4 linked regions of the Lonchura striata genome follow. The protein of the gene in region 4 binds, or shares a complex with, the protein of the main gene of each other region. Links are inferred from orthologs where the notes say so. Each region holds a gene or a part of one and is shown on either strand. Other genes may lie near its edges. The genes, in order: INTS7, INTS12, INTS4 and INTS2.

Evidence for each region.
Region 1: the proteins of INTS2 (region 4) and INTS7 are in contact, whole or in part, in a cryo-EM structure (PDB 8RC4), measured with the Homo sapiens proteins. The link is inferred for Lonchura striata from reciprocal best matches to the Homo sapiens genes INTS2 and INTS7. Residues at the interface, in NP_065799.2 of Homo sapiens: Gln27, Lys28, Val29, Cys48, Arg51, Met52, Cys55, Ala56, Ala58, Asp59, Gln60, Ser61, Trp64, Phe92, His93, Ala186, Glu187, Pro189, Ile194, Val218, Asp220, Ser221, Asn223, Glu224, Ser259, Leu262, Lys263, Arg265, His285, Gly294; in NP_056249.1 of Homo sapiens: Leu38, Gly39, Glu40, Cys42, Glu43, Val46, Arg47, Asn77, Phe78, Leu81, Cys82, Leu84, Lys85, Gln88, Gln89, Asn114, Asp115, Pro116, Val117, Ala120, Ile121, Arg124, Val153, Glu156, Val159, Phe160, Ala163, Leu195, Lys196, Pro199.
Region 2: INTS2 (region 4) and INTS12 share a complex: the UniProt entries of both Homo sapiens proteins name them as parts of the integrator complex. The link is inferred for Lonchura striata from reciprocal best matches to the Homo sapiens genes INTS2 and INTS12.
Region 3: INTS2 (region 4) and INTS4 share a complex: the UniProt entries of both Homo sapiens proteins name them as parts of the integrator complex. The link is inferred for Lonchura striata from reciprocal best matches to the Homo sapiens genes INTS2 and INTS4.

The regions. Positions count from the first base shown.
Region 1 is NC_134605.1:12,060,503-12,067,672, reverse strand, and holds the start of INTS7 (integrator complex subunit 7), read right to left. Parts: upstream 3,015-7,170; 5' UTR 2,998-3,014; coding exon 2,907-2,997; intron 2,768-2,906; coding exon 2,638-2,767; intron 2,609-2,637; exon of another isoform or gene 2,458-2,608; coding exon of another isoform or gene 2,390-2,457; intron 1,803-2,389; coding exon 1,656-1,802; intron 1-1,655. Other genes in the region: DTL (denticleless protein homolog), read left to right, coding at 3,224-3,269, 3,683-3,808, 4,646-4,744, 5,039-5,100, 5,189-5,309, 5,774-5,839, 6,964-7,079. UniProt on the Homo sapiens protein: Component of the integrator complex, a multiprotein complex that terminates RNA polymerase II (Pol II) transcription in the promoter-proximal region of genes.
Region 2 is NC_134606.1:47,849,240-47,856,981, reverse strand, and holds the start of INTS12 (integrator complex subunit 12), read right to left. Parts: upstream 3,003-7,742; 5' UTR 2,873-3,002; intron 2,863-2,872; exon of another isoform or gene 2,414-2,862; intron 2,394-2,413; exon of another isoform or gene 1,477-2,393; intron 1-1,476. Other genes in the region: GSTCD (glutathione S-transferase C-terminal domain-containing protein), read left to right, coding at 6,438-6,686, 7,491-7,742. UniProt on the Homo sapiens protein: Component of the integrator complex, a multiprotein complex that terminates RNA polymerase II (Pol II) transcription in the promoter-proximal region of genes.
Region 3 is NC_134604.1:32,552,113-32,560,103, reverse strand, and holds the start of INTS4 (integrator complex subunit 4), read left to right. Parts: upstream 1-4,988; 5' UTR 4,989-5,035; coding exon 5,036-5,089; intron 5,090-5,727; coding exon 5,728-5,922; intron 5,923-7,820; coding exon 7,821-7,938; intron 7,939-7,991. Other genes in the region: BTB/POZ domain-containing protein KCTD14, read left to right, coding at 708-712, 1,024-1,695. UniProt on the Homo sapiens protein: Component of the integrator complex, a multiprotein complex that terminates RNA polymerase II (Pol II) transcription in the promoter-proximal region of genes.
Region 4 is NC_134622.1:9,345,333-9,353,139, reverse strand, and holds the start of INTS2 (integrator complex subunit 2), read right to left. Parts: upstream 3,011-7,807; 5' UTR 2,963-3,010; coding exon 2,670-2,962; intron 2,215-2,669; coding exon 2,076-2,214; intron 1,458-2,075; coding exon 1,355-1,457; intron 1,202-1,354; coding exon 1,088-1,201; intron 741-1,087; coding exon 610-740; intron 524-609; coding exon 350-523; intron 1-349. UniProt on the Homo sapiens protein: Component of the integrator complex, a multiprotein complex that terminates RNA polymerase II (Pol II) transcription in the promoter-proximal region of genes.

The sequences.
Region 1 (7,170 bases), on a different chromosome or scaffold from region 4:
CCTCAAATGAAATACTGAAAGAAAAAAGAAATGGACACTTGACCTCATCAATCAAAGCTCTGTTAATGATTCCCCATCTCCCAGCAGTAACAGTTCCAGATGGAGGCACAAAAAGAATATAAAGAAAGAAAGTGCTCTCTTCACATTTGAATTCACCTGCACAGGGGCTGGAAAATGCAGTTAAAAGGATCATGTTGGATAGTATTAGAGACACAGTCACCAAACCAGCAGGACAGTGACATGAAAGACAGATTAATTTTGTTTTCCCATTTGATTCCCAGAAGTTCAAAGCAATCAGTAATATAACAGCATTTCCTTAGAAGTTATTGATCAGAGATCATCTAGCAGTTCTAGCTAGGACAAGGCAGAATGAATAGCATAGTGCAAGCATAACAAGGTTCATGTAAGTTTTGGTTGCAAGTTAACAAAAACTATTTTGACACAAAAGGAAGCACTTTCACTTGGTCTAAAAGTATCCTAGCAAGATGAGATATATCACATATAGCTCCTGTCTGGGTTATGCATACAACAGATTCAGTTTTCTTCTCTGGTGTACATAAAATTTCAACACTGCAAATTATGTTTTGCCTGGGACCATCCACAAAATTCTTACCATCATAAATGGTTAATAACCTTGTTCTACTTATTCACAAAATTCTTACCATCACAAGTGGTTACTACCTTGTCCTTGTTATTACCAATCCTTATCATTCATGCCTTTGAAAGACAGATGTTTCTGCTTTTAACTCTATGAGCAATGTATAAAAAGCCTCCTTTATTTAACTCACAAAATCACAGAACGGCCTGGGTTGGAAGGGACCTTAAAGACCATCTAGTTCCAAACTCCTTGACATAGGCAGGGACATCTTCCACTTGACCAGGTTGCTGAAAGCCCCATCCAACCTGGCTTTGAACAGTTTCATGGATGAAGCATCCATGAATGCCTCCAACTTCTCTGGGCAACCTGTTCCAGTGCCTCACCACACTCAAAATAAAGAATTTTTTCTCAGTATCTTATCTAAACCTACTTTCTTTCAGTTTGAAGCCATTTTTCCCCTTGTCCTATCACTAAAGGCTCTCCATCGTTCTTGTAGGCTCCCTTCAGGTACTGGAAGGCCACAATTAGGTCACCCCAAAGTCTTCTCTTCTCCAGGCTGAACAATCCCAATTCTCTCAGCATTTCCTCACAAGAGAGGTGCTCCATCCCTTTAACCACCTCGGTTGCCTCCTCTGGACTCCCTCCAACAGGTTCATGTCCTTCCTGTGCTGGAGGCCCCAGAGCTGGACACAGAACTGCAGGAGGGGTCTCAGCAGAGGGGAGCAGAGAGGCAGAATCCCCTTCCTTGGCCTTTGGCTGCCCAGGCTCTTTCTGATGTAGCCCAAAACACATTTGGCTGTCTGGGCTGCCAGTGAACATTGCTGGGTCATGTCCAGCTTTTCATCCACTAGCACCCCTAAGTCCTTCTAGGCAGGGCTGCTCTTGGTCTGTTCATCCCCAGTCTGGACTGACACCAGGGATTGCCGTGGCCCAGATGCAATGCCTTGCATTTGGTCTTGTTATTCCAGACAGGCACATTGATAGACCTACAGGTTTGAAGTAAATCAGAATCATTCACCAGATTTGAAGTAAGTCAGATCACTCATGCCATACATACCGCAGTGTGATAGCCCGAGCAACCGGATCATTGCTATGGATTACTGAGAAAACTCTCTTGACAAATTCATCCACATTTAGGATCTTCTCTAAGTGCTTCTCACTCTGCTGAGTAACTTTCAGCACACACAGCCTCAGGAAGTTGTTCCTGTTAGAAAACACATACGTTTCCTTGTCAGGCTATTTTGAAACAAAAATTCAAGTACTTTAAATACTAAAATTATTTAACTACAACTTTTGGAGCAAATTAAAACAAGGAGATATCAATGCTTTAGAAACATTTGCGTAGACTGATAGAGTAAAACAGATACTATTAACATACTATTGCTTTATTTTCTAGTTCAGGTAGTGTCAAATTAAAGCCCAGTTCCAGGGCAATGAACTTGCTGACACCAGTGAGGAGGGGTGTAAGGATGCCTGTTTTGTGCACACACAGGGATCCAGATCTGCTGGAAAAACACATTCAAGACTAAGACAGAGAAGTCTTAATTACCACTGTCAAGTGCTGAGCAAATTTATTTTCCTTCCTGAAGGCAAGAGTGAAGATTCCGCAGCATCAGAATACACCTTTGTAAGCTTTTAAGAAGGAGTTTTGATTACATTATGTACATCACTCAGACACCAGGCACTTGGAAAAGCTATACTTTGTGAGCTTTGTTAGATTAAAATTGGCACATGTGATCATCCATCCATTTATGAGTTATGATTTGAATGTGCTTATGGAGCAAAACTTACACCAGTGAACTTAACCCAGTCAGAGAGAGAATCCTCAAATCAGGACAGATGGAAAGGAACTGTGTCATCACTCACAGCCACTCAAGCCCACTAAAGAAGGGGAAAACAAGTTCCAATCAAGCACAGCCGCAACAGACCGGGTACCAGAACGGTGCTGGCAGGCAAGCAGGCCATGCCAGATCCCAGCGCAGCCACACTCCAAGGCACAGTGCGTTCCCACGGAGCAGGCTCGAGCGGGCAGTACTCACCCCACTCTGAAAACATCGGCTAGCTTCAGGAACGCCGAGTTGATGAGGATGGGGAACGGGTATTTCTGGAAGAGCCTCGGAAAACGAACGACGGCTTCGCACTGCTCCCCGAGCTTGCCGGACCTGAGGCCTAGAGGAGACAGCAGGAATCACCGCACAGCCCCGGCTCCTTCCTCCGCCCCCGCCCTGCACAAAGCGCTGCCAAGCGGAGCCCCCGCCCCAGCCCCGCTGCCCGGGGCGGCGACAACGCCGAGCCCGCGCGGGCCCACCCTTGTCCAGCTCCATGAGGGCGGAGTTGGCGTCCAGCTCCTGCTCGCCATAGCCCGCGTCGGCCAGGAAGGACTTGGCGCTGGCCGCCATGGCTGCCGCTCGCCGCCGGTCCGCGCACGCGCAGCCGCGCGCCCGGCCCCGCCCGCCCGGCGCGGCCGCGGGAGCCGGCGGCGGGCGCGGCCCGCCCACCCCCGTGCTGCCCAATCAGAGGAGGCGGGCGAGGCGCGGCGCGCTCGCCGCTGACCAATGAGGGCTCGCGGCGCGCTTGGCGGGCCGGTGGTTTGGCGGGAGCTGGCTCGGCCGTGTCCCCGTGGCCATGCTGTGCCGCGCGCTGCTCCGCCGGGCCGCCGCCGCGCCCGCCCGTGAGTACCGCGCCTCCCCGCCGGTCCCGCGCCTCCCGTCCGGTACCGCTCCTTCCCGTCCGGTCCCGCGCCTTCCCGTCCGGTCCCGCGCCTCCCCGTCCGGTCCCGCGCCTCCCCGTCCGGTCCCGCGCCTCCCCGTCCGGTCCCGCGCCTCCCCGCCGGTCCCGCGCCTTCCCGTCCGGTCCCGCGCCTTCCCGTCCGGTCCCGCGCCTCCCCGCCGGTCCCGCGCCTCCCCGCCGGTCCCGCGCCTCCCCGCCGGTCCCGCGCCTCCCCGCCGGTCCCGCGCCTTCCCGCACGCCCTCCCTTCCCCATCCATCCCCGGCCGCCCGCACAGCCGCGGCGGCCGCCTTGCGGCTCGTGGCGCCCGAGCCTGTGGGGTCTGAGGCGCTTACGGTCCGTCTGTCCCGTTGTAGGTCGGTCCTCAGCGCTTCCCCTGCAGCATCTCTTGGACAGCTACCAGTGCAGCCGAGAAGATGACCACCTGTCGTACGGGGGAACGGGAATGCCAGTCCCTCCTTTCGGCTGCACCTTTTCTACAGGTAAATTCACCTCCTGAATGATCTTTTGAGGGGCCAGGGTATAGGTTCTGTTTCAGCAGTTTCTTGTTTTAAAGTGAGCTTGCTCCTGCAGCCTGCTTGCTCCTACACGTGATAAACTTTGGATCGTGGTGCACCTAGATACTGATGGAAAGTATTCCCTCAAAGAAGCAACTATAAAGCATTTATTTTAGTGTCTCTTTGTTTCATCTGTGTGTGTGCTTCAAGGCATGTCCTCTTGGAGATAGTGTGAGGCTACATAGGCGAAAAACTAGGCTTTATTCAAAATATCTAAAAACTATAATAGGGTGGAGAACATTAGGTAGAAATCAGAGGTGGATGGATGTCACCAGGAGTTACACACAGCATTTCCCCATGATGGGGGAAAGGAGTAAGCAATGGAGCTCCTGGATCTTTAGGGCAAAACTTCTTCATTCATTGTACTCTAGTTTTGGCATGAGATTTTACATTTCTCTAAGGTGGCCTCCTTCTTTTCCAAGTCAGATCATGGAAAATGCTGGAGGCTGTAGATGATAGGTACTCTAGAGATAGGAAACTGTAACTAGAAAACTGCTATAGCTGGTGGAAGAGGTATTATCTCAAAAGTTGTTTCTGGAGTCATTTGATTGCCCATGTATAGTCATTTTAGAACGGCACATCTAGAAAAAATGCTTGCTAGTATTTCTGTATTTTTACAGTTAGGTTGCTATGTAAATGCTGTTTATTTCACAGCTTTATGTTTGCTGCATTCCCTATTTAAAACATCTGTGGCTTTCACAAAGAGCAAGGGTAGGATTTTGTATTAGCTACATAATATAATACGCTTCAATTTCTTTTCAGCCCCAAATTTGGAGCACATCCTGGCAGTTGCAAATGAAGAAGGGTTTGTTAGACTGTATGATACTGAAGCACAGACCACCAGCAAGCTCATCTTTAAAGGTAAATGTATAGAAGGTGATCTTCATTTGATGTGACAAGTGTGGGACTTGCTGGAATCAAAGAGAGCTTTTTGCAAGTCCTTAAAACGTAAATTTTAGGCAGTACTTTATTCCTTCTGCATAGCAGCAACACAATGTGCTCTTACTGCAGTAGTAGATGAATTGTTCTGTATTGTCTTTCATGCCTAAGGCAAACTGTTGACAAGATTTCTGATTTCATGACAATCCAGATGTCATTTGCAAAATACCATGCTGCGATGCACTGAACTAATCTTGGCTTTTGTTTTCTTGTTAGAATGGCAGGCTCACTCAAATGCTGTGTTTGACCTTGCCTGGGTGCCAGGAGAACACAGGATTGTAAGTAGTCTTTTGCCATCTCTTTTTTTTAATGCCTTGGCACCTCTGTACAGAAAATGACTTAAGCTTTTTATTTTTCCCTCTGAAGGTCACTGCTTCAGGAGATCAGACAGCCAAGGTGTGGGATGTGAGAGCTGGCGAGCTTCTTGGCATATGCAAAGGTCACCAGTGTAGCCTCAAGTCAGTTGCTTTTTCTAGATTTGAGAAAGGTAAATGTTGGTATTCCCTGTTGTCTGTTTTTTCCTTCTTTACCCCCGGCAAAGTACTTTTAAGGGCTGAAAAAAGGCTTTGGAAACTGACGGGTACCAATAGCACAGGCCTGAGCAGTGACCCAGCCAGGAAAGCAAAACTGTCTAGTTAGAACTCGATGGTGTCCTTATGCTAAAATCAGCACATTGCTGATCTTGGGCAAAGATAGGATATCTGCTTCCATACCCAAGCGTGTGAATATACTTTCCATGAGCTGGTTTCTCTAGTGGGAGTAAGAAAAGGATAGTAAGGGAAAGATAGCAAGTCAAAAAGCATGGAAAAACAATGGCCTGAGTTTTATATTTCCAGGACTGGCATCACAAGTGTTGGGACAGAAGAGCCAGAGGTACATAGGTGCATTGTACTGCATTCAGTTAATTAAATGAATGCTTTTAGAAGGTAATAACACTTTTTTTTCTTGCAGCTGTTTTCTGTACTGGAGGGAGAGATGGAAACATCATGGTTTGGGATACCAGGTGCAACAAGAAAGGTAAATAAACTTTCAAATATGTATCAACAAAGCTTGGTATCTCGTGTAAAAGGACTGCTCAGATGGACTTGTTGGACTGATACTTTTAATTACAATGTAGGCAGCAGAGGCTTCTCAGATAACTTTACTGCTTTAGGTGCTGTAAGAGAATGGAATAGGTATCTCTGTTATATATGTATAAGACATTTCTCTACTTTGCAGCAGTTGATGATGTGCAGCATCAAACCACAGGCTGGTTTGAGAATTCCATGTGTGTAGGTAAAGACATGAGGCTGTATAGAATACATCCCTGCTAGGGCAGTGCAAAGCAGATGAGATAGGAGAGATTGCTTAGGTCAGAGCCATCCAGAGGGGTGAGGAAAAGCTGGAAAGGCTCCTGCCAGAGTAGAAAGGAAGGCAGAAAATGTAAGAAAAAGGAGCTTGTGAGTGCTGGTAGCAACTGAATATATTGTGGGAGCACCTACTATAAATATGTGAGCTCATTCTGCTCCTCTGTTTCCTGGAGCTTTTCCTTCTCCAGCCCCTTCCCCTTATGCCATTTCCCAGTTCCCTGCTCTGCCACACCAGTTTCTTTGCCTGAACATGTCTTGCTCTTCCATCTGTCCCAGGTTCCTTGGCTTTTCAAGCAGGCAAGTGAATGAAAAGTTGACTGACTCCACATGATTGAAGTGGAAGGTGTAGGAAAAAAAAAAGTAGAACAGTCGCCTTACTCTAGTAAGGCAGTACATTTCTAAAGGTAATAGACAAAAGGCTGAACAGGAAATTATAAAATAGAGCACTGGAAATCTTCCAGTGAGTGCAGTTCTGCTTGGGATGAGTGGGTAGAACACTCAGACCGGGATGCATGTGAAAAACAGATAAAGGGGTAATAATTTCCAAAGGCAGTCTGCCTAGATCAGTTTTAGTTTCAATGTTCATGCTACACTGACCTCTGCAGTTTTTTGCACTGTGTTTTTCTCACTGGTTTTGTATATAAGTAATTTTTGTTTTCAGGATGCATGTATGATTTTAAAGGTTAACCTAAGTTACCTTTTAGGTCTAATCCCAAACTGATGCCTGTTTTATTAAAGTGATAGCAAAATTGCATATAAACTACTAATTGAGATGTCTTTGATTTCTTTCAGATGGCTTTTACAGGCAGGTAAATCAAATCAGTGGAGCACACAATGTGGCTGAGAAGCAGACTCCTTCCAAACTGAAGAAGAGGAGGCAGAACCTGAGAGGACTTGCTCCCTTGGTGGTGGGTATCTGGGCAACAAACAAAATGTTCCTTCTGGGGACAGTGGTATTCACAGAATTCTTCCTAAGTAAATGTAGTGAGAAATATGTGG
Region 2 (7,742 bases), on a different chromosome or scaffold from region 4:
CTCTTATTTTTTTTTTTTCATTCATTTGCCATCTACTGTTTTGCACACCTGCCCATGTATTATCTTATTCATCATGACTTGCAGCTAAATGGATCTACTTCCATTACATTTTCAGATACAGTCATACTTTCAACCATCTGTTTCTGAACTCCTGTTATTATTTTCTGAGGCACGTATACTACTAAAGATGTTTTTCAAAGAAAGTACACATCTTCTATTTATATTGCAATGCTATTAAAGTCTTCTGCTATTATGCCATCCTTTTATAAACTCATCAATATTTTTATTTTTTACTGCCACTTATGATTAAAAGGCCTTTCACTCACATATCCTTTTCAGCGACCTTCAAGATCTGTAGCAGTTACCTTAAAAAAGTCACATGAACGAACAGCTTATATAATTCCTTCCAACACACTCACTGCACTATTTTTCATTTACCACTGTAAAAACAATTCACTTTTCCCTGTCACTTTGGATCCCTCTATTCCTCAGAATTTACCCTCTTCCTGACTACATCTATTAACAGCGACAGTGGCAGATTTTCCTTATTTACCAATAATGCCTCTTCCAGGTCACTTTCAGATCTGATGATTCTGAAGAAAGTAGATCTAGGAAAATCTTAAAAGGAGGAAAAAATTAACTTCTATTTTCAGCTGCTTAACTATCTTAATCAGCACTTGATTTATGACAGGATAATTTCTCAGTTACTTTCCACAAGGGACATTTCAAAACTCACGCACTTCAGTAGTCTGGATAACTGTATTAATGAGAACAATTGTATTAATCCGTTCTAATTTTCTTGTCATTGTCTTCAAAGAATCTTTTGAGACACTTATAAGATCTCCTGCTATGGAGTTACTAGTACTGGCATCCTTAATTTTACATTCTATTCTACAACATATTTTATAATGTTCTTTTAAATTAGTATTCCAATCAATATCACCACAAACAGCTTATCCAATATTTTAAAAATTACATTAATGCCCTATATTTTCTGTTTTCTCCACAAAAACAGTGAATTCTTTCAGGATTACAGAATCATTCCTTGTGGAAGGGACCCCACAATGTCACCCTGTGCAACCTCCTGTTCAATGCAAAGTTGACACTGAATTCAGACCAGTTTGCTCAGGGCTCTTCCAGCTGGATCCTGAAAATCTCCAAAGACACGAATGCAAAAATCCTTCTGGCCAACTTGTCCCAATGCCTCACTGCCTTCATTTCCTTGCTTTGAATTGGAGGTTTTAAGTTGTGCTGTCTCTCATTCTCCCACTATGCATGTGACTATGAAGACTGGCTCTATATCTTTCCAATAATACCCTCAAGAAAATTCAAGCTTCCATTATATCCCCCTAAGCCCGGAGCAGATGGTATCCAACACACCCTCCATCTCCAGATCTAGCTATTTAGTCACAGAGGACATGCCAATTGATCAGGCATGATTTATCCTTGGTAGATCTGGCTCTTCCCAGTTTCTACCTTCTTTTGCCACAAATGGCTTCCTCCACGATCCTTTCACAGGAGGAAGGAATGAGGCTGACCAGTCTGTAGTTCTCTTCTTTGTCTTTCTTGCCCTTTATGAAGATAAGATTTGCCTTTCTCCTGTCTTTGGGATCTCCCCCAGTCTCGTGGCCTTTAAAAGATGACAGAAAGCAGCTTTGTGTAGATGCTGCCAGTTGCTGGCACCCTTTAATGAAGTCTACGTGGGCCTATGGACTTATCAGGGACAATCTGCTTCAATCCTCTTCCACAACTTGTAGTTCCTCCTCTCCTTATGCTCTGCCTTGTGGCAAAAGGCCCTGTGAGACCTTACAGGTCAAGTCTGTGACAAAGAAGACATCAACTGTTTGACCCTTATCTGTGTCTGCTGTCACTAACAAACTTCTTCCATGCAGCAGTGGTGATGTTTCCTTGTAAATCCCTTTCCTGATAAATGGTATGATTCTTGTGAGTGCCTTTCAACTCAGGATATTTTGTGATAATTGCACCTGCACAACTGAGATTTGCTAAGCCCTGCTACCACTGAGCTTCAATATTCTGCAGAAAATGGACCCGAGGATATTTCAACATGCCAGTGCTCATTGGCTTAAAACACTGGCCAATTGAGTACACCTCTCTATCTTTTCATCTTTGCATTATTCAACATCCACACTGAAACTTATCAAGTGTACAAATTCCTGGGTATCATGTCTCAGAGAGAGAAGCAAGCTTTAGTCAAAAATGAATTTCTGAAGCAGTTACGCCAAAGCCACGACGTGACCCTCCGCAATCTACTCGCTGCAAATTTCTCCCTGGGATTTCTTTTTACCAACGAAGGGAAGGCCTCTCATCTGAGAGCAACACTTTAGAATGCTTAAAAGAATAAAATGCCATCCTCCTACAACCATTATTGCCCCACAGGGCACCCAAAGCTCACCCGGGCCCGAGGGGAAGAGCGGCCGGGTGTGCCTAAGGGCTCCCCCTTCCTCCCTCCTGCCAACATCCTATTTCTCCCATCCATGCTCACCCCCACTGTCCTCTGCCAACCCCATTTTTCTCCTCCCAAATGCCTCTTGCCGCTACCAAACCTGCTCTTCCTCCCCTCTCCTAAATTCTTTTTCTCCTCCCCAGACCCCTCTGCTCTCTCGCCATCTCCCTCCTCCTGCCCGTTCCCAAACCCCCTTTGCCTCCTCCTAAATCCCTCTTCCCCTCCCAACCCCAAAATTCCCTCTTCCTGTTGCCAAACCCCCTCTTCCCTCTCTCAACTCCCCTCTGCCTTCATCCTCCCAGTCGTTCTCTGCCCCCTCCCAGTCTCCCTCTTCCTTCCCCCTTCCCACTCCAAATTTCCTCTTCCCGATCCTCTCGAGTTCCCTCTCCGCGCCCGCTGGTGTCTCACCGGAGACGAGGAGGAGGAGGAGGAGGAGGAGGAGGAGGAGGAGGAGGAGGAGGAGGAGGAGGAGGAGGAGGAAGGCTCCCCGGCAGGTCCGGCGGCACGGCAGTCCCCGCGCAGCAGTTCCGGGCGGCGCAGGAAGAGGCGGAGCCGGGACGGAAGCGGCCGGGCCGGGTAAGGGCAGGGAGCGGGGAACGGGCAGGATGGAGGGAACGTGGCGCTGCCGGAGCCCCGGGGCTGCTTTGGCAGCGCTGCACCGACAGCAGCTGCGAGCAGAGCTTTAGGGAGCGGGGCTGCAGGGAGCTGTGCTGCGGGAGCCCAGGCGTGTGCTGCCGTCCTGAATCCCGGCTCTGTCCCTGTGTCCCGGTTCTGTCCCCGAGTCCCGGCTCTGTCCCCGTATCCCGGCTCTGTCCCCGTGTCCCGGCTCTGTCCCCGTGTCCCGGCTCTGGCCCCCGCATCCCGGCTCTCCCCGTGTCCCGGCTCTGTCCCCGCATCCCGGCTCTCCCCGTGTCCCGGCTCTGTCCCCGTATCCCGGCTCTGTCCCCCATATCCCGGCTCTGTCCCCCGCATCCCGGCTCTGTCCCCGCGTCCCGGCTCTCCCCGTGTCCCGGCTCTGTCCCCGCATCCCGGCTCTCCCCGTATCCCGGCTCTGTCCCCGTATCCCGGCTCTGTCCCCCATATCCCGGCTCTGTCCCCCGCATCCCGGCTCTGTCCCCGCGTCCCGGCTCTGTCCCCGCGTCCCGGCTCTGTCCCCGCGTCCCGGCTCTGTCCCCCGCATCCCGGCTCTGTCCCCGCGTCCCGGCTCTGTCCCCCGCATCCTGGCTCTGTCTCCGCATCCCGGCTCTGACCCCGCGTCCCGGCTCTGTCCCCGTGTCCCGGCCCTGTCCCCGTGTCCCGGCTCTGTCCCCCGTGTCCCGGCTCTGTCCCCGTGTCCCGGCTCTGTCCCCCGTGTCCCGGCTCTGTCCCCCGTGTCCCGGCTCTGTTCCCCGCGTCCCGGCTCTGTTCCCCGCGTCCCGGCTCTGTCCCCGTGTCCCGGCCCTGTCCCCGTGTCCCGGCTCTGTCCCTGTGTCCCGGCTCTGTCCCCGTGTCCCCGCGTCCCGGCTCTGTCCCCGTGTCCCGGCCCTGTCCCCGAGTCCCGCCCGCATTTGGCTCTCCAGAACCGACCACAGCTTTCTGTTCCTTCGCAGGCCCGCCTGCAGCTCGGGTCCGAAGCTGTTCTGTTTCCCCCTTCTGAGCAGGGCTGGCCCCGAACGCGTGCAGTAAATGGGTCGTCTTGGATAGAAATACAGCTCCAGGCTCTCAAGTGACGTGCCTTAAAGCACAAATAATGCTTCGCACCAAGTTAAATGTTTGCCGCGTTAAGTGGCATTATATTAAGCGTTTCTCAAATGCTAACGCGCCTGCTTTACAGAAGTTCCGTTTTACTGTGTAGAAACCAACAAATGAATAGGATCTTTTTGATCTTTTTCCTTTCAAAAGGAAGAGGATGTTTATGTATTTATTTGTCTTTAATTTTTATGGGAAACACTTGTTTTTAAAGCAGTGTTTTTCTTTATTACGTTGTTAACAGGGCAACTGAGTGGACCTAATTTAACTGTGGTTTAGAGCATGTTGAAAGGGAGGAGAAAATGGTAAAAACAGCGCAGCTAGTGAAACTTACATTTACATATTATTTGTAATTTTAAAGTAGGTGTCTTTTATACCAAAGGTAGGCAATGTTATTTATCTTTGTCATTTAAGTTACAGTGCAAATTGTAACATTGAACATTGCTTTTCATTTTCTCTCTTTCAAACAGTGTCTACTGTAAATACGGCCAATAGAATAAAAATCCATCTCTTCCCACAGAATTTACAGCCTAATTAGAGAAAAAAGTGCTGGGAAAAAATACTGTGAGCAAACAGTACAATGTCTTACTAGGTTTGGTTAGTTCTGTATTGCACATTTCATTTTATTGTGTATGTCTACGTCTGCTTTTCTCTCAGTAAGTTGCCAAGGGATTAATAAACACATGTAATGGATAGGTAGTAGTTTTGTGAAAAGATTTAAGTGAGAATGGGCAACCATTTAGGCTGTTAAGTTTTTGAATTGAAAATATGTGCATAAGTCCACAAGGAATATAGATTCTGTCTAACCAAACAGTGTGGAAGAGCACCAGTATTCGAAACAAAAAATATAGGAGGTGACCTTATAACGTCAGTGCTTAGAGACAAAATGTTGAGAGGAATTATCCAAAAATATGGGAGAGGGGTTGGGTGTGGCAGTATAAGGGTATGCAGCTCAGTTGAAGTGATGATTCAAGAAGGCCTTTCTTCTTACAGGAAACAATGAGGAAACAGAGGTAAAGTCACTTATAGACAGAACTCCTGGACACATTATTTTAGCTTCTCTTCTCTGAGAGATTTGAGAATACAGTTAGCCTGACTGTAATTTTCATTGTCGCAGACTGACCTTAAAAACCCCCAAAATCTCACAGCCAACCAAACAACAAAGCCTTTAAGGAAAAATGTCCAAATTTTTGGCTTGCACTAGGACAGACTTCCAGTGTGACACTGAGCTATAAATTCTCTTTGTGCTTTTGCTTTTTCACGTGTAACAGGAACACGGGAAACTTTAACCTTGCAAGGCTCTCTGAGAAAGAAGTCTGTTCAGTGTGGTGGAGAAACATAGACATTTTTGCAATAACTAACAATTCAAATAAATCCAGACTGAATGTGTTGATATTCTAATGACCTGTATATCAAGTTGCAGTCATTATGGAAGCCCAGTTTGTTAAAATTACTTGTAAGAAGTTTTTAAAAATAAATTTTAACAACAGGTGATTAATAGATGGGAACTATAGAATAATATACTTTGGAAATAGAAACCTTGTCAGAGTTTACCAAAATATTTAGTAGTTTTGCATAGCATGAGAATGACCAAAATAGCTGATTGAGTCCAGGAACATCAACTAGAATAAAAAAATTGAGTGATCAGGTGAATGTGTTTATCTGAGTGGTTTGCGTGCTGAGCAAAAGATGGACTTGTGAGTTCTTTGAGTTCACATGGAGAACAAAAATATTAACCAAAATGCATACAAGAGTACTTTTTAATATTGCAAGAGGTACTGTAGTTGAGGATAGGAGTTTAAATACTAGAAGCTATGGGTATGACTACGGTAGCAATAACTCTCTCTGATTTACCTCTCTGGCTGTGCCTTCACTGGATGATTTCTGCCACAGAGGTGTACTTAGGATATAGGCTCTGTCTCAGATTCCATGTTGTCAAGATTTATCCAAATAAAATATCTTGTGGTAAAGTAGGTATGGCATTGTGTACTGTCCTGTTCTTTGTGTGGCAGTGTATTAATTAAAGAAAAGCAGCAGTACTCGTAGCAGAGACACTTTTTTTGTCATTTAGTGGTTTAAAAATGTTTCACTATAACAGACATCAGTATTCTTAATGTCAGGTAGACTTGATTTTATTCTTCCACTCCCCCCTTTTGGGCAATTGTTTTGGCCCTCTGGTAGGTAATATGAAATAGTAAGTGTGATGTTCATGTCTACATGGAAAAAAATAAATTGAATAATCAAGATGTATGAAATTAAAACTTTTTTAAAAAATACTTGTATCATGCGTGTAATTGTCAAAGACCTCATTAATCTAGACAGTGTTGTTCTAGTGCCATTCATGCTTTATATATATGTGTATAAAACCCTATTCTGGCGTTTCTCAGCAGCGTTGGGGTTTCTCTTCCTCGCTGCGCTGTTGCTGTGCCCGTGTCACTTGTGCCGCGAGGGCCATCTAGTGTCTGAGGCTTTCCGGTGCCACCTGTCATCTCAGGTAATGGGCAGTTCTGCTGAGCGATGGAGTAGAAAAATTACTGCTTCAGCGCCTTGTGTTAAACTCCCGTGGAATACTGTAGTAGGAAAAATGTAGCTTGCAACCCACTGTAAGGAAAATTAATGTGAGTTTTTAATATACTGAGAAGATATTAATTTCAGCTTTGCTATTGTTGAATTTGACTGCGTTAAAGTAGTTGTGTGTTTAAGGTGTTCATGTAGTATCATGAGATGAATGTTTATTTGCTTATGTTATTATCTCACCCAGCTCTGGATTAATTTTTAATACAAAAACCAATATTATTTCCCTAAATAGGCCTAAATACCTACTCTAAATGCCATTTAGCAGTTACAAAAAGACAGATGTTTGTATTAGAGAACTGACTGTTGTAGATATGTGCTCAGGAAATGTTTTTTTTTTAAATAATGCATGGTTAATATTGTGGAAGATTTTAATGTAAAAAACCCAACTTGCTTTAAAATGTTTATGTACTTAAAAATTGAAAATGAAACATTTTTTTTAGGTTTTGGTTGGTGTCAGAAATACGCTAAAGTGTAAAAAAAAATTACAGAGGTAATTTTCCTATTCCTGATCTTATATGTGAAGAGACAGTGTAGATGTGAAAGCATTCTTTTCCCTTAACTAAGGGCCTGCCAATTATTGATGCAGGATGTCTTTAGTAGTGTCTTATGTTAAAATCAGTTGTAGCAGATAGTGGAAGAACCAGTGCTCTAATTTTTTTTTTCTTTTCTTTTTTCTATTCTGTATTCTTTTATGGATGTCGTACTCTGATTTCTATTTCAGGAACTTCATCTCAGGAAGAAGATGAAAGATAATGTCGCTGAAGAACATTTATATTTGGCTTTTTCTCATCAGTACAGAGATAGTATCTTTCCTCTTCATACATCTATCTCACTGTTTTTGCTATCCTATTGTGACTGCAAATTATTTAAAGTTTTTTTAGTGCCAACTGGCGAAGATGTGGGTGATCAGTGTGTGACAAAAAGCCTCGCTGGTGATCTTGAGGTCCACTTAATCTCCAGATGTCAGCTTCCA
Region 3 (7,991 bases), on a different chromosome or scaffold from region 4:
GTGAGCTCCTGGAAAATAGGGTTGTTTATTGACTCACGCCTTCCCAATGGCAGGTGTGGCCCTGGCCTGGCTTGTGACTCGCATTACAGTAGTGCTGGCAGGAGGAAAGGAACTGTCTTCTTTCTTTCTTCCCTTTTCTTTTCACTTGCTGAGTACTACATAAAATGACCAAGTGCGAAGGGAAGCTGGTAAAATTTTTCAGAACTGAATATACAGGAAGGCAAATTTTAAAAATCCAGCTTTCCAGGTATTCAGGCCTCCTTCAATTCACACAATGGTGTTAATACAGAGGGTTTAAAAATGCAAACAAAACCACAATCTTTACATTTTTTTCCTCTTAAGTCCATGTCAGTTGCATGAAATATTTCCTTTACTTCCTAACTAAAGCCATACTTTTTAAGGTGCTTTGCGAAACAGCTTCTGTCCTTCACCTCCAACATTACGGATTTTTGTGTCTTCAGTGTTTGCAGCTGAACCCCCAGATGAGTGGAAGCCAATTCCACCCATTATAAAGAGCTTTAGTTTCTCCTTTGAAGAGGAACAAACAGTTCAGATGATAAAAATGAAGTGGCACAGCTTTGGGCTCTATCTTTGTCCCTCTGCACAAGGGGTGGGTGAGAGTTGCTGTAGGTGGCCCACAGGGACAATGCTTGTGAGTGACTTAGGAGATCAGTGTTGGATCCTGTAGTCACTCCCAGATTTCCTAGGCAGGGTACTTCTTTTCCGTCTTTCCCACCAGGAAAATGACACTTTCCTACATTCCAAGGATGAGGTGAGGACTTTGTCATTTAGAAATGTCCAAGTCTCTGCTGCTCAGGTTGTGAGAGTTGTATTAGCATTCTGCAGATGCTTTTTGCAATAAATCAGGTGGAGGTTCCCATCTGATACCCACAAAATGGGAGCTCATACTGCTCTTCACTCATTCCATCCTTCAACCACAACAATCTGCCTTTTCCTTGACGCTTCCATGTTGATGACCTCAAACTGATAATGAACATCGCTTTTCACTTTTTTCTTTTTCAGTTGTCACCAATTGTGGAGTTAAATGTTGGTGGGGAGATGTACACGACAACACTGAGCACCTTGAAGAAACACCCTGGCTCTAAGCTGGCAGAGATGTTCACCGGCCAGCCCAAACTCAGGACTGACTCTGAAGGGAGGTTCTTCATTGACAGGCCAGGCACCTACTTCAAATACATCTTGGAATACCTGCGCAGTAACCAAGTGCCCACCCAGTGCATCCAGGACGTCTACAAGGAGGCGTTGTTCTATGACATAGAACCTTTGATCAAGCAGCTTGAGGACTCCCCACAGATCTTTGGGGAGCTCGTGGCGAGGAGGCAGTTTCTGGCTCGTGTGCCCAACTACAGCGAGAACATCGAGCTGATGATCCGCATCGCCAGGGCGGAAGCGGTTGCATCCCGACAGTCCAGCGTCATCGTATGTGTGGTCAGAACCGAGGAGGACGCAGCCAGGTGTCAGGATGTCTTGAACAGTTTGGACATGGATAAAAAATCTGTGGTGAAGTTTGGCCCCTGGAAGGCTGTGCCCAGTATTTCTGATCTGCTGGACTGCATTCAAATGGATGTTGAAGCCAAAGGGTATAAAATATCCTTTCAGCCCCATGTTGCTGAAAAAGGTTTTCGCTTCAAATCGCATGACTTCTTCTACAAGTTCCTGTTCACCTGGTGGTAGCAAAGTGCTGCCATTGGTAGGGAACATTAGAAAGCAATCACTGGAACAAATTAACCTGGACTGTGGAGACTAAACGACGAGCTACCAGAGGGACAGGAAGAAACACACAGGCCAATGAAAGGATCTCTTTTGGCTGTTTGCCATATCAAAGAGCACTTAAGAGCCACTTTACTTGGGCTTTAGGGGATAACTTTTTAGGGGATTTAAAAGGCTCCAGAAAAGGGACAAATTTTACTCTTCAATGTTGCTTACTATTCATTCAGTTCAAAGAGATGGATCTGTGAATAGAGCCAACCTCACTCAACCTAAGGGAAATGAATAATCCCAAATATGTCTCGTGAACATGTAGAGTTGCTCTCTCAGTGCAAATGGGAACAGGTCATATATGTGGAAATCCTGACTGAAACAGTGATATTACCACATACTTGAATTAAAATTGGTTTCTAAATGGGAAGGCAAAAGCAATTTTTCTCTCTCCTTTCTACACTATAATCTGGGTTAAAAGGAAGGATTCAGTTCCTCTGATTGCTTCTTATTCCTCCAGCAGACAGCCTACTCTCTACTCAATGTATTTATTACAATTATTTATTATTTGTTCTGAAGGAAAGACGGAGAACCTCATCTACGGTCCATGATCAACAAAAGGCAAAAACATCACTGATGTGAGGAGTTTATAATCTAAGGACACACACTCCTCTTTCAGACCACACAATCTTAATCTCTTTCTTATGACACTCATTATTATTATGATGCTATTTCTAACTACATAAGCTCCTGGAAGAATTGGGAAAACCTGGCACGATTTGGTGGGAAGGAAGTGGTACTGAAGCAACAGCCTACAAATTCTCTTTTACAGAACACAAGTTGCATTCTACAATGTGTTTTTAAAATTCTTAGAATTTGAAAGTTTATTTTTATACTGGAGATTTTTTTTAATCACTCTGAGAATCATAATGGTTGATTTGATAAGGATCATATTTCTTTTACTTCTTGGAAGATTAATTTCTTCCAGTCAAGGACAATAACCATAGAATCATAGAATGGTCCCTGAGATTTCAAAGGAATAAATTTTACAATTTTTTTGGATGATGCATAAGTGATTTATTTACTGACATTTCCCCCTCAAGATCCCCAAATTCTAAAGACCTGAAGTTTTGTCTTTAGGGAACAGATTTGAACCATTCCTAATTAAGCTGTGTTTCAGATGTGCTTATCCTAGCATGGACTTCCCCCCAGTGACAGCCATGAGTCACTCCAGCAACTGCGGGGCAGTTCTGCTGTAGGGGTGAAGGGACTCTGAGATCTGTCACATTCATTGCCTTGTTAAGAATGGATGCAGTCAGTGTCTGAGAGGACAAAATGTTTAGGAAATAGGCTCTTATGATCATAATCAAGTGGTTGGTGGTGCTCAGCCTGGAAGAAGAGAGATAGAGGAGGCCTCCCAGTAGACAAAAGGATGCTTTAAAGAGATCTGTTACACTTTGCACATACTGAGGGTGGGGAAACTGGCTTAAGTCACAACAACAGAGATGAAAATTAGACATTAGGAGGAAAAAAATCTCAGCATAGAATAGTTAAAGCCTCACACCAACCAACCTCCTAAGTCTCTAGGACTGCTGCCATGAGAAAATTGAATTGGTACATGCTTGAATCCTGCATTCAGTTTGGTGTCACTCACTCTAGGAAGGACATTGACGCCCTGCAGTGTCCTGGAGAAGGGCAATGGAGCTGGTCTGGAGCACAAGTCCCATGAGGAGTGGCTGAGGGAGCTGGGGGTGTTCAGCCTGGAGAAAAGGAGGCTCAGGGGGACCTTATCGCTCTCTAAAACTGCCTGGAAGGTGCTTGTAGCCAGGTGAGAGACAGGACAAGAGAAATGGCCTCAAGTTGTGCCAGGAAAACAATCAGGAAAAATGTATTCACTGAAAGGGTGGTCAGACATTGGAACAGGCTGCCCAAGAAATTGGTCGAGTCCCCATCCCTGGAAGTGTTAAAAAAATGTGCGGCTGTGGCACTTGGAAATAGAGATTAGTGGTTGGCTTGCCAGTGCTGGGTTAACAGTTGAACTCCATGATCTTATAAAATTTTTCTGACTTTAATGATTCTACTACTCTGATGGAAATAAATTTTCTAGTTATTTTTAATTAATTTATTAATCATAAGCAGTATATTATTTATTAGCATTGCATTAGTCTTAAGTCACTTTTAGCCAGCACGTAAGTAAGTTTCTTTACACAAACTGATATTGATAAGAGTTGGATTGGGAAAATCGCTGAAACTTTAAGTTTTGCTAAACTAGCCCTGATATGCTTTGATGAACAAAACCTGCGAGAGATGTATTTTTGAAAGTGGACACAAAAAATGCGGCATTTATAGAATATAAGGGAACTTTGCAGAAACCAGAAGATAACAAAGATTCTTCAGGATGTGCTGCAACACTTCCTACCTGGAGTGTTGCAGCACATCCTACAAAGAGTCTGAGAAATGGGGGCTGATTAACGTGAGAAGGAAGAATAAATAACCAATAGAGGACAGAATACTAATTAATGAAGAGAATTATTTAATAGAACTGATGAACATTGTGAAAAATGCCAATCATTTGATTTTTAAAATGTTAAAAGTTTAATAATTATAAAATGGTTATAAAATAATAATACAATTAGAGTAATAAAGTTTAGAGTTAGAACAATTACAAGACAATAAAAAGCAAAGAATTACGGATGTCCGGATGCTCTCAGACACTAAGTCACAAAAAGCACGTCTTGTGAACAAAGGAATTACACTTAAAACAATACACTCGTTGCATATTCATATATCCTTCATGGTTATGCATTTAAAACAAGAAACTCTGTCTGTTGTATGCCAACTGTTTCCTTTAAGCCCCATGGCATCTTCGAGTCTGAGCAAGGCCTGAAGAAATTGGTTTCTTCTGATAAGAAGCCACAAATTCCTCTCCTTTGGAAGATTTAGGCGTTCCTCGAAGCAAGTATTTAATTTCTAAAAAAAACAATTCCCCCCCCACACATAGTCTCTATTTTAACATTATGTTGGAACCTAAAACTATATTTAACACACTACGTAAGAGAATTAACACAGCATAACTTTCTAACATTACACATACAATATTCACGGTAATATTTGCGAGAAGCCAATCGTTAAATACGCATTTTTCAAAAACATCATTTCTTTGCTCGCTCAAAAAGCACCCAGAGGTGGCACAGCCGGGTTAAAAGCGAGTCCCAGCGAACGGCGGGCGCAGCTGTCAGGGAAGCCGCGGGCGGACGAGGCCGCGCCGCCCCTCCCGGCGCCTCCGCGGTTCCTGTTCCGGCTGCGCGGCCGCGCCATGGCGGCGCACCTGAAGAAGCGGGTGTACGAGGAGTTCACCAAGGTGGTCCAGGTAACACATCCCCCCCAGGCCGGGGTGGCGGCTGCGAGCTCTGCCTGCGGCGGGAGCGTGAGGCGGAGCTGTGGGGAAAGCCGGGGCTCGCCGGGGCCGGGGCGGCCCCCGAGGGGTCGGGCGGGAGCGGGCCGGGGCGGCCCCGAGTGCTTGTGGAGTCTCCCTCACTGGAGATGCTCAGGAGCGGTCCGGACACTGCAGTGCTGTGCAGCGTGCTCTGAGGTGAGCCTGCTTGAGAGGGAGCTTGGGCGAGAGGACCCGCTGTGGTTTCTTCCAGCCGGACCCGATGTGTTGGTTCTTTGACCTGAGCAGGGCCGTCACTGCTGCGGGGAAGAGGAAGGAACTACGGCGAGTTGCTGGGCTGCTCCGGGCCGGTGGGAGAGGGAGAAGTCGTGTTGGCCCCGGATTAGTTGTTTGGACCCAGCCTAGGGTGGGGAGAGGCCGTGTTTCGCGGGGACAGCGACCACCTGGGCAGGACAGTGACAACCGCTGTGGTGCGAGGATGTATTTTTTCTCAGATGGATGAAGGAGAGTGACTGCCGTGGGACATGGCAGCTTCCTTAGGCCTCCCCGTGTTCAGTCTGGGAGGAGTGGGTCTGGATACACTGTGTTTCTGAGCTCTGTCCCTCTGCCCACAGCAGCAGCATGAGGACCTGTCCACTAAGAAGCTGCGGCTGACCAAGCCCAGCAAGTCGGCAGCGCTCCACGTGGACCTGTGCAAAGCCACCTCGCCCGCAGATGCCTTGCAGTACCTGCTCCAGTTTGCCAGGAAGCCTGTGGAAGTGGAGAGCGTGGAAGGGGTTGTCAGGATCCTGCTGGAGCATTATTACAAGGTGGTGAAGCTGGGAGTCAAACATGCTTGCTCCTTCTACTCCTGTTTGCTTGGTGTGGGATGTTGAACAGGGGCTCACAGGCTCCTGTGTTGCTGACTCAGTTGCCACCAGCCTGGGCTGAGAGTGAGCAGCTGTAGCCCCTGACCCAAGTGATTTCTGATTGTGATACTTGACGTCTGTGCTGATGGTTTCACCAGCCTGTGACAAGTTATCTCTGCACGTGGCTTGTGTGTAAGTTAACTTGGCGAGGGACAAAAGACGTGTCAAGTTTTCCAGGGAGCCCAGCTGCCTAGAGCTGTTTCAGCTTTATACAACACTTTCCTGACTGATGTGCCCTTACCTTGTTCTTAATCTTCTCTAGCAGTGGAGAAACCTTTTAGTTATTGCTTATGTAGTAAAAAAGAAGCACTTTTAAAATCATAGACTCATGGAATTGTTTGGGTTGGAGGGACATTAAAGATCATCCACTTCTGACCCCTCTGCTAGGGGACACCTTCTGTTAGACCAGGTTGCCCAAAGTTCCATCCAGCCTGACCTTGAGCATTTCCAAGTATGAGGCAGCTTCCCTGGGTAACCTTCTCTGGGCCAGTACCTCACTGCCCTCTCAGTGAAGAATTTCTTCCTAATATCAAATCTATGAAGAAAACTGTCCAAACTTCTCCAATTAGCAAGCAGTAGAACAAGGAGATGGCCTCAAGCTGCTCCAAGGAGGTTTAGCTTGGACATTTGGAGAACTTTCCACACTGAAAAGATTATCAAGCACTGGAACAGACTGCCCAAAGCAGTGGTTGAGTCACTGTCCCTGAAGGTATTTCAAAGATGTGTAGATGTGGCACTTGGGGACACAGTTTAGTGGTAGACTTGTCAGTGCTAGGTTAAGGGTTGGACTTGATGACCTTAGAGGTCTTTTCCAACATAAATGATTCTCTGATTCTATGAAATACAGAGTTCCTGGTCAAATAACAGGTTCATTGTACTTGAAATTTGTTTTGTAGCTTGTATTAGAAGAAAGACTCATGAACCTGCAGACAGGATCACACTGGCAAGAGCACAGCCTGTTACAGGATCCAGCTTTTAAAAATACTGCTTTCAAAACTACCATAGCTGACATTATTTTACTTACAGACAAAATTTTCGAAAGAACTTGTTTCTTAGTACTCCATAACACACTTTTCCTGGTCATCCAGAAACCTGACCCTGAAAGCTGTAACTGCAGTGGAAGTTATGTGATGATTTATTTGTTTGAAGTGTCATTGATTTGTTTAAGATGGTCTGTAGCCTCATGCTCTTTCATCCCTATATATTTTGGTAGGGCAGTACTGATGACAGCATTCATTTTTCAAACACATAGCTTCAACCCTAAAATAAAAAATGCATCTCAGTTTAGTTGAGAAAGGGACTGCTACTTTGGGTGTCACATTTGTCACTTGGAGGCTGTGTGTGGCACTGAAGTCTCTCTTAAATACTTGACAGATATAACAGTTGTAACTGTAAAATTTCTTGTTGAAAGATGGGATATTTGTTAATGTAATTTTTCTGCAACTCTGAATGTTGCACAAATGCTGATAAGATCCATGTATGACACCCAGATGACTTTTTGCCTTTCTACTCTACATTGGATGTCCTTGGCAATACAATGAGAGAGGGTCCAGTTATGACCCAAAGTCTTGGGTACATGAGTCTCTAGAAACCACGAAATAAATCTCGAAAATGCATGAGCTTTTGAAATTAATTTTAAAGGAATATTCATTGATGATGGTTACTTATGTAATTATCACCTGTGACAGCATTTGCTGTTTCTTAAATGAGTAGATGTATATAGGTAATATATGCTGTTTTCTTTTTTTTTCTTTAACCTTGCTGGACTGGGGCTTTTTTTGGGTGTTGTTTCCTTCCAGGAGAATGATGCCTCTGTAAGACTGAAGATTGCATCCTTGCTGGGGTTGTTGTCAAAGACTGCAGGATTTTCCCCAGACTGCATTATGGATGATGCCATTAACACCCTTCAGAATGAGAGTAAGTCTCACTTTTGATGTGATGCTTGAGGTCAAGGTGGAATCATGCTGTCA
Region 4 (7,807 bases):
AGTCAAAGGAAGAGGGTCATTTTTTTAAAATACAGTTTTCAGCTCCAAGGTTTAACTATATCACCTGAGCATCTTCCCACTGTGAGCACTGAGAATGAACATTTTTATCAGGCAAGTATTACAAACATACAGTTCCCTGGTTTCCATGCCAGGGAATAACCAAATAGCTGCTGCCTTCGGGGACATTATTCATAGAGAGCCCCATAAGAGAAGGTTGCCTTATAAAGGTTTCTCCAAGACGTGCAACGGGATTTATGTGCATTCAGACAAATCTGCAGCACACATCCAAGAGTTACATCAAGCTACAAAAACATTTCTTAAAAAGCAAAATACTCTAAGATTTTCTCACCTGTTGCCCATTTCGGATGAAAGTTCCAAACCACGTCCGAACCTTTGCATTTGTTCCAAGCAGCAAACCACTCACAAAACACACCAGATCACTCACTCCATCATCTGAGGATTCATTCTTGGTGTGATCCAAGGTCAAAGCCACACCAAGACCTGGCAGGTGACACTCCTCCACCTGGATAAAACACTCAGGCTCAGTCATCTTTGTTGGGTTTGAAGCTCAAGGAAGGTTCTTAATTTTGATTCTCAGGACAAACTCACCACCATGCCCCGGACCCTCAGGGCTTGGGAAGGGTTCATCTTGCACAAGTGTCGAAGAGCTTCGGTCCTGCGCCGGCCTCCGACGCTCTCCTCATCCTGCCGCTCGCCGTTCTTAATCAAACCTCGGCACACTAAAGGCCCAAGAGCAGCTCTCAGGAATCTGCCCTTCCCAACTCAAATTAGCATCAGATAATTTGAATCATCAGATGGCTCAGTGGAATGGACACAAACCGTTGGCAGGGATTAGAGGAGGTTCTTAGCCCCCACCATTCCCTGCCCAATCAGCCTTTGTAACAGTGCCCTACAGATGAAAAGCTGTGACACATACAGCGAGCCTGGCCTGCAAGCAGGCTGCAAAAAATGGGACTCAACATGCTCAGGTGGCAGCATCCAGCAGCTGTACAACTCCTGGTTTAGCCCAGAATTAACCACGCTGGTAGAAATCACTTCAAAAGCTGGAGAAGAAGCTGTAACTCACCCTCGTTAAAGCTGTCAGGGACATTGGCCACCAGCAGGCAAAGGAACCAGGCTCCATTCTTAACGTGCAGCAGAGCTTCAGCCACATCCACTATTGGCAACAGAGATGGCAGCTCTGGGTGGAAAGAGGGTGTTAAAAGTCACAATGTTTCACTGGGAAACGAAAGCTGCACTTCTTAGATTAACCTTACACATGCCACAAAAGCTCCTAAAGTTGCTTTGTTACATTTGTGACAGGTCAGAAAAGGCCATAAATACAGAAACACACCTGCTTGCAAAATGCAGAGAACATCTGCTGCCTCCTCCAGGTAAACAGGACTCTCGAAGAGCTCAGAAGATTTGAGGAAAAACTCGCCATTTGATTCTGACACCTGTGAGACAACATTTATCATCAGTGAACAGGTTTCATGAAGCAATTTGTCTAAATCTGTTTTAAATTCAGCATGTTTAATAGATTAAAAACTGCCAAAACCATAAAGCTATCAACACAGAACAAGAAGGAAAAGTTTGTAGAATAAGAAATATTTACTACTGGAAATACTTCAACACAGATGGTATCATTGCTTCTTTTCAGAAGAAAAATAGCCCACTGACATTCTAAGTTTACACAAGGAAAATAAAATGCTTGGTGAGGAAGGAAGTGGGGGAAGAGAAATATGATGGCTAATACCACACTGCAGTAGGAGCAAAGAATGGGATGGAGAGAAGTCATCACTTCATTTCCAAATTATTTCTGCACTGACAGATCACCAAATCGCATTATGTTTGAGTACAGCATATTATAGAGTCCCTATAACATCAGGAAATATTTCCTTTAGGAAGTCACAAAGACTTTAAGCACAAGCCACTGTTCAATCAGACTGAGACTGAATCTTGATAAAGCAGGTAAGGACTACAGAAGAGTGCTCACACCACCAGCAGCACCAGAGACACAACCAGTTCAGAGGGCAACCTAAAACTCACAAATATTCCCCTACAGGGGAGTTCACCTTGTTCATAATGGCCAGCAACTCGCTCAGCACCAGCCGGAGCCGCCGAGGAGAGTCACTGTGCTCAAATTCCAGCGTCAGCCCGTGCTGCAGCTGTGACACCAAGATGCTTTCTCCGCTGCCACCTCCCAGCTTGTGCCTGGCACACAATTCAAAAATTCAAAACAACAAGCATTAAACGTTTCTGCAAAGACAGAAATGCTTCCAGCTAAAGGAAGGCAGCAGTTCCCTAGGGATCTTTTCTGTCCTTATTATAAAGACTGCTGTACTGCAGTACAAGAAAGCTAATTCAGTACATTATCAAAACTTCAAGTGCTTCTATTCCCCAGCAGCACAAAGCGTCAGGAAAGGGCATCCACCTGAGCTGTGCCTCCATCCCACAGAGCCATGCCAGCCCTTCCCTGCCGGGCAGCTCCCGCAGCGCATCCCGCACCTCCGCGGAGCACGGCGGGGACAGGTCCCAGGACACACAGCTAAACCCCAGGGCTTTCCTAGGACAGCATCGAGGGACACGAATGGCCGGGTTTAAAAAACTGCAGCAATCGGAACAGCTGGAAAAGCCACACAGCGCTTCCGCCACGCTCTCTGCGTTACCGGAGCTGCTGCTCCTTGCTGGCGTCCTGCTCCAGCGCGTGGAAGTCCACGGACAGCAGCGCCACGATGGAATTGACCGCCTCGACCCCCGAGAGCAGCCGCAGGATCAGCTTCTTGTCCTGCGCCCAGCTCTGGCTCTGGTCGGCGGGCGCGCACAGCGCCATGCGCACCAGGCAAGGCAGCAGCAGCCGCAGCTCGGGGTCGCTCAGCGCGGCCAGGCGCACCACGTCCACCTTCTGCATCGCCTCGAAGGCGTAGGGGCTGACGAACTGCAGCGCCGAGCACTCGGACATGGCGGCAGCCGCGGCTCCCTCACGGCCCCCGCGCCCACCCGCCGCCACTACCGGGGGAAGCGGGAAGTGACGTCACGGCGGGAGGGCCGAGGGGCGGGAACGGCTGAGGGGCGGAAAGGGAGAGGCGGGAAAAGCTGAGGGGCGGGAAAGGCTGAGGGGCACCGCCCTCCCCGCCCCCTCAAGAAACCCACATCACAATCAAGGCTTCATGAATAATTTATTCCATTTGAATTTTTTTTCTTTTTTTAAAAAGTATAAACCTTTTTTTGTTTTGTGTTTTTTTTTTTTTCTTCTTCATTTCCTCGATCACAATTTGTACAACTCAGTGTTTATGGCATTCGGCAGAAATAGTGTTTGTTCCTTAAATCCGCTTTTTCTTTTCTGTGTTTTGTCACGATGAAATGCGAGGCTCCCTGGCACATCCAGCCGTGCCCGAGGGGTGCTGGAACAGCTCCGGGACCTGTCCGGCGAGGCATTGGAACAGCTCCGGGACCTGTCCGGCGAGATGTTGGAGCAGCTCCTCGGTGGTGCTGGAACAGCTCCAGGACCTGTCCAGTGAGACATTGGAGCAGCTCCTCGGTGGTGCTGGAACAGCTCTGGGACCTGTCCGGCGAGGCGTTGGAGCAGCTCCGGGACCTGTCCGGCGAGACGTTGGAGCAGCTGCGGGACCTGTCCAGCGAGATGTTGGAGCAGCTCCTCGGTGGTGCTGGAACAGCTCCGGGACCTGTCCGGCGAGGTGTTGGAGCAGCTCCGGGACCTGTCCAGCAAGATGTTGGAGCAGCTCCTCGATGGTGCTGGAACAGCTCCGGGACCTGTCCGGCGAGGCGTTGGAGCAGCTCCGGGACCTGTCCAGGGAGACGTTGGAGCAGCTCCTCGGTGGTGCTGGAACAGCTCCGGGACCTGTCCGGCGAGGCGTTGGAGCAGCTCCGGGACCTGTCCAGCGAGATGTTGGAGCAGCTCCTCGATGGTGCTGGAACAGCTCCGGGACCTGTCCGGCGAGGCGTTGGAGCAGCTCTGGGACCTGTCCGGCGAGGCGTTGGAGCAGCTCTGGGACCTGTCCAGCGAGGCGTTGGAGCAGCTCCTCGATGGTGCTGGAACAGCTCCGGGACCTGTCCGGAGAGGCGTTGGAGCAGCTCCGGGACCTGTCCAGCGAGATGTTGGAGCAGCTCCTCGGTGGTGCTGGAACAGCTCCGGGACCTGTCCAGTGAGACGTTGGAGCAGCTCCTCGGTGGTGCTGGAGCAGCTCCAGGACCTGTCCAGCGAGGCGTTGGAGCAGCTCCTCGGTGTGTCCGGCCGCGGTGTTGGGACTCCCCGTGTGTCCGGCCGTGCCGGTGCGGTGCCGGAGCGGCTCCGGGCGTGTCCAGCCGTGCCGCGGGAGCAGCTCCGAGGTGTGTCCAGCCGTGCCCGAGGGCCGCCGTGTCCAGTCACGAGGCCACAAGGCTGCAGCAGCCCCAGGCAGCGCTCGGCAAGGTCCTCACGTCCAGTTGACTCGGAAAAAACCTAAAGCTCGATGAGTAGCATCCTGAAAAAGTGACCCTGAGGATTGTGGTAGGTCCCAAATCCAGTTTTACTGTAAATTAAGCTTTACTCCGCTGAAAAGAAAAAGTACACCCACAAATAATAGTAAAAAAACCCTTTAAGAACGAAGCGTAGTCCTGGGCCCTTTACTTTAAAAAAATGAAAAAAAAAAATAAATAAAACAAACAAAACCACCTTCCCAACTGGAGGTTGCGAGACAGTAATGTTGTACAATGTCACGCCATGAGTGAATTCTTCAACAAAACCCAGATGAAAACAAGGTTGATGCAGCGTTACTATCCCAACAGACTGATATGTGGTGCCGTACTGTTGTGCAGCAAATTATATGGTGCAATAGCATTTTTAAAAAATGTTTTACTCTTATTCTTGAAAGCTTTAAAATAATGCAACATAATATTTTGATATTACAGTATTAACAAATAGTGCTTGATTAAAGACATCGGCAAGTCTTCATAGCAACACACAAAGTTAAAATTACCATCAGAGGTAAATATAGAAATACAATAATCTGCGCCATAACTGACAGCTAAGTAAGAACATAGCTGAGGATTTAAATATAAATCCATTTATCTTTAATTATTTCAGAGAATGTTAGAAATATCTAAATGTTACAGCTACTTTTAAAATGTGAGGGCTGTTACAAGTACAGCTGGTGGCCTTGCTGGTCTTAGCAACATGGTTTTCAGAAACCTAATTCAAATAGTAGTGAGTCAAATGTGACTAAAAGGCTTAAATGCAGTAACATCTGGGTTAAAATATGTATTTTTTAATTGGAATGGAAGGATCTCGGCTTCTTTCATTGGAAGAGATAAACCTCCACAGCTACTTAAAGCACTGACACGAACAACATTTTCTTGCAAGGCCGTTTTGGAAACCTGTAGCTGAATTTTTCAACTACTTAAGCTTGTACTTGCTAAACAACCTCGATTTATTGGATTCTGACAATTTTATTTATAAACCACCTATTATGTGCACTTAAAATAGTTAAATGAAAGTAGCTAACAAAAAAAGTATGTCAAATATAATAGTTGGCTCCATGGTGCTGGCAGGTTTGATTGTACATTGCCAGCTGTGACTATCACTCCAGAAACGGCCCTTCTAGTCTTTTATAGTGGTTATAATATTATAATTTACTTTAAATTGCATTTGATGGGGGGGGAGGAGTGGGAAACTGGCAGCTTTCACAGTAGGAGTTTCACAGGGAAGGCTGGTCCAGGTAACAGAATACAGTTACACCAAGGTTCAGGCAGCTGATTCACTTACCTTTAGGAATACAAGTCAGATTGAACACAAAACAAAGCCACACCAAAACCCAGCCCTTGGAACTTGGTTAACTGAGCCAGGGTTAGAAATGACCACTTAGCAACAAAGCTCAAGGAAAAAAAGGACATACACTTTGAAATTTCCAGTTTTAGGAGCACTTTTCCACTTCAAAAATGCCAACCAAATGAGAAAAACCTTCTGTAAGACAATAATGTGCCGTTTAATCTGCGGTGCATTACCGAGATAAAGTCATGGACAGACCCAGTTTTTAACTCTATTTATCAAAATATGCTAACTTCTGATTGCACTCATGTTGTTCTGAAGAAATGACTGAAAATTCTCATCACCAATTGTACAACTTCTTTATACAAAACCAAAAAAGTTGCTAATATTGTATGTACACGATTCAGTGAGACTGTTCATACGAAAAAAAAATCACCTCAGGCAGGTCTTTTGCATTTACGAAACGAGATTTTCATGAACACAGTAAGTTTGGTAAATGCAAGCAAATTCTTCCTTGTAGAGGGGTTAACAGCAGGTGCACAAATAGATCTTAAACCTTGCTCCTTTACAGGTTTAAACCAGCGAGACAGACAATATTAAGACCCAGGACTTGGGTTATTGTGACAGGCTCCCGGGAGCACTGCAGGAGTTCAGTTTTTCATCTGGCAGTCAGATAAGGAACGCAGAAAAAGCATCTGCAGCTGCTCTTCAGCACCCGTAGGGGCTATTTTAGAGCAGCCACAGACATTTGGCGTGTGCTAGGAAAAAAAGGAAGGAAACTACTGAGAAAAAATGGTGACTGTAGATAGAGGGAGATGTTTAGGAAAGCCTTGTGGTTTGTCAGTCCCTTCCTTGGGGAGGGCAAAGCCTCCTTGGCACATGCCCCAGCCAGAGCCTGAAAATGGGATATGGGGAAGGCCATACATTGATACTTGGGACCTTCACCACAGTGCCAAAAATACATGGAAAAGGAAAATGTTCAGGGTTTCGTGCTGTTTTTTTTACTAGTGGAATAAAATCTGAATACCAGAATTCACTGAGAATCTATATACACCACATTTTAGTTAAACACACACCAATCTTAAAGTCAAGATTGACTATATTTTTGCATTTGTAAAATGGCTAGAGCTGGGCTAAATTTCAGCCTGGCAGGAGACTTTGGATAAGGTCAGAGTTTTCTGTGTGTTCCACCTCAGATTCGCATTTTATCACAAAAGCAGAAGCAAACAATGCAGTGAGCACGGTGCCAAGAATATCCAGGGAGCAACAATGCACAAGAGATGTTCTTGTGATATTAAAACTCGTGTCCTGGAAGTGGATCTGAGAATCTAGCCACAGCCCTGAACCATAACACAAACTTCAGTTGAAGAGTTTATTCATGTTATTCTCACTACAAGTTAAACCACCTACAATATCACTTATATATTGCCATTGTTACTCTGTAAAGGTGTGATATAAAATGCTGTAAGACCCGGTACCTTTTCAATTTATATAAACACAGTGAACTTCATTACTGTACATGTACTCTGCAACTACAGCTTAGCTGTAAATCCCCCACACACAATGGTATGGACATTAACCCCTCTATCCCCGTTAGACTGTACATCAAGACAATACAAATTTACTGTCCCCACCCACCCCTTACAAAAAAATAATACTCTAAAAGCAACCTACTGCAACTTTTAATTAAGACGATTACATATATTTTAGACCAATTGCTTTAAAGCAAGAAGGCAGTATAAACCTTCTAGGAAAATTTTTATAAAAGAGGTTAAGAAATATAAGACAATTTATACATTTAAAAACTTACAATAAATAAGAGATGCAGGCATTTTTGAATACTAAGTACTATAATCCAATACAAGAACATCTTGATGTTCTGAAGCCATAGGTTGAAACTTAATTGTTCCTCGTGTTTCTTCTCATCTCCATGCTTTTAAAATTCATTTACCATGACTGGGTACTATGGCTCATTACTCTTCACAAATACTGTGGCTGGGGAAAAATGGTTAATTTTGCTACTAAAAACGTTATAATACA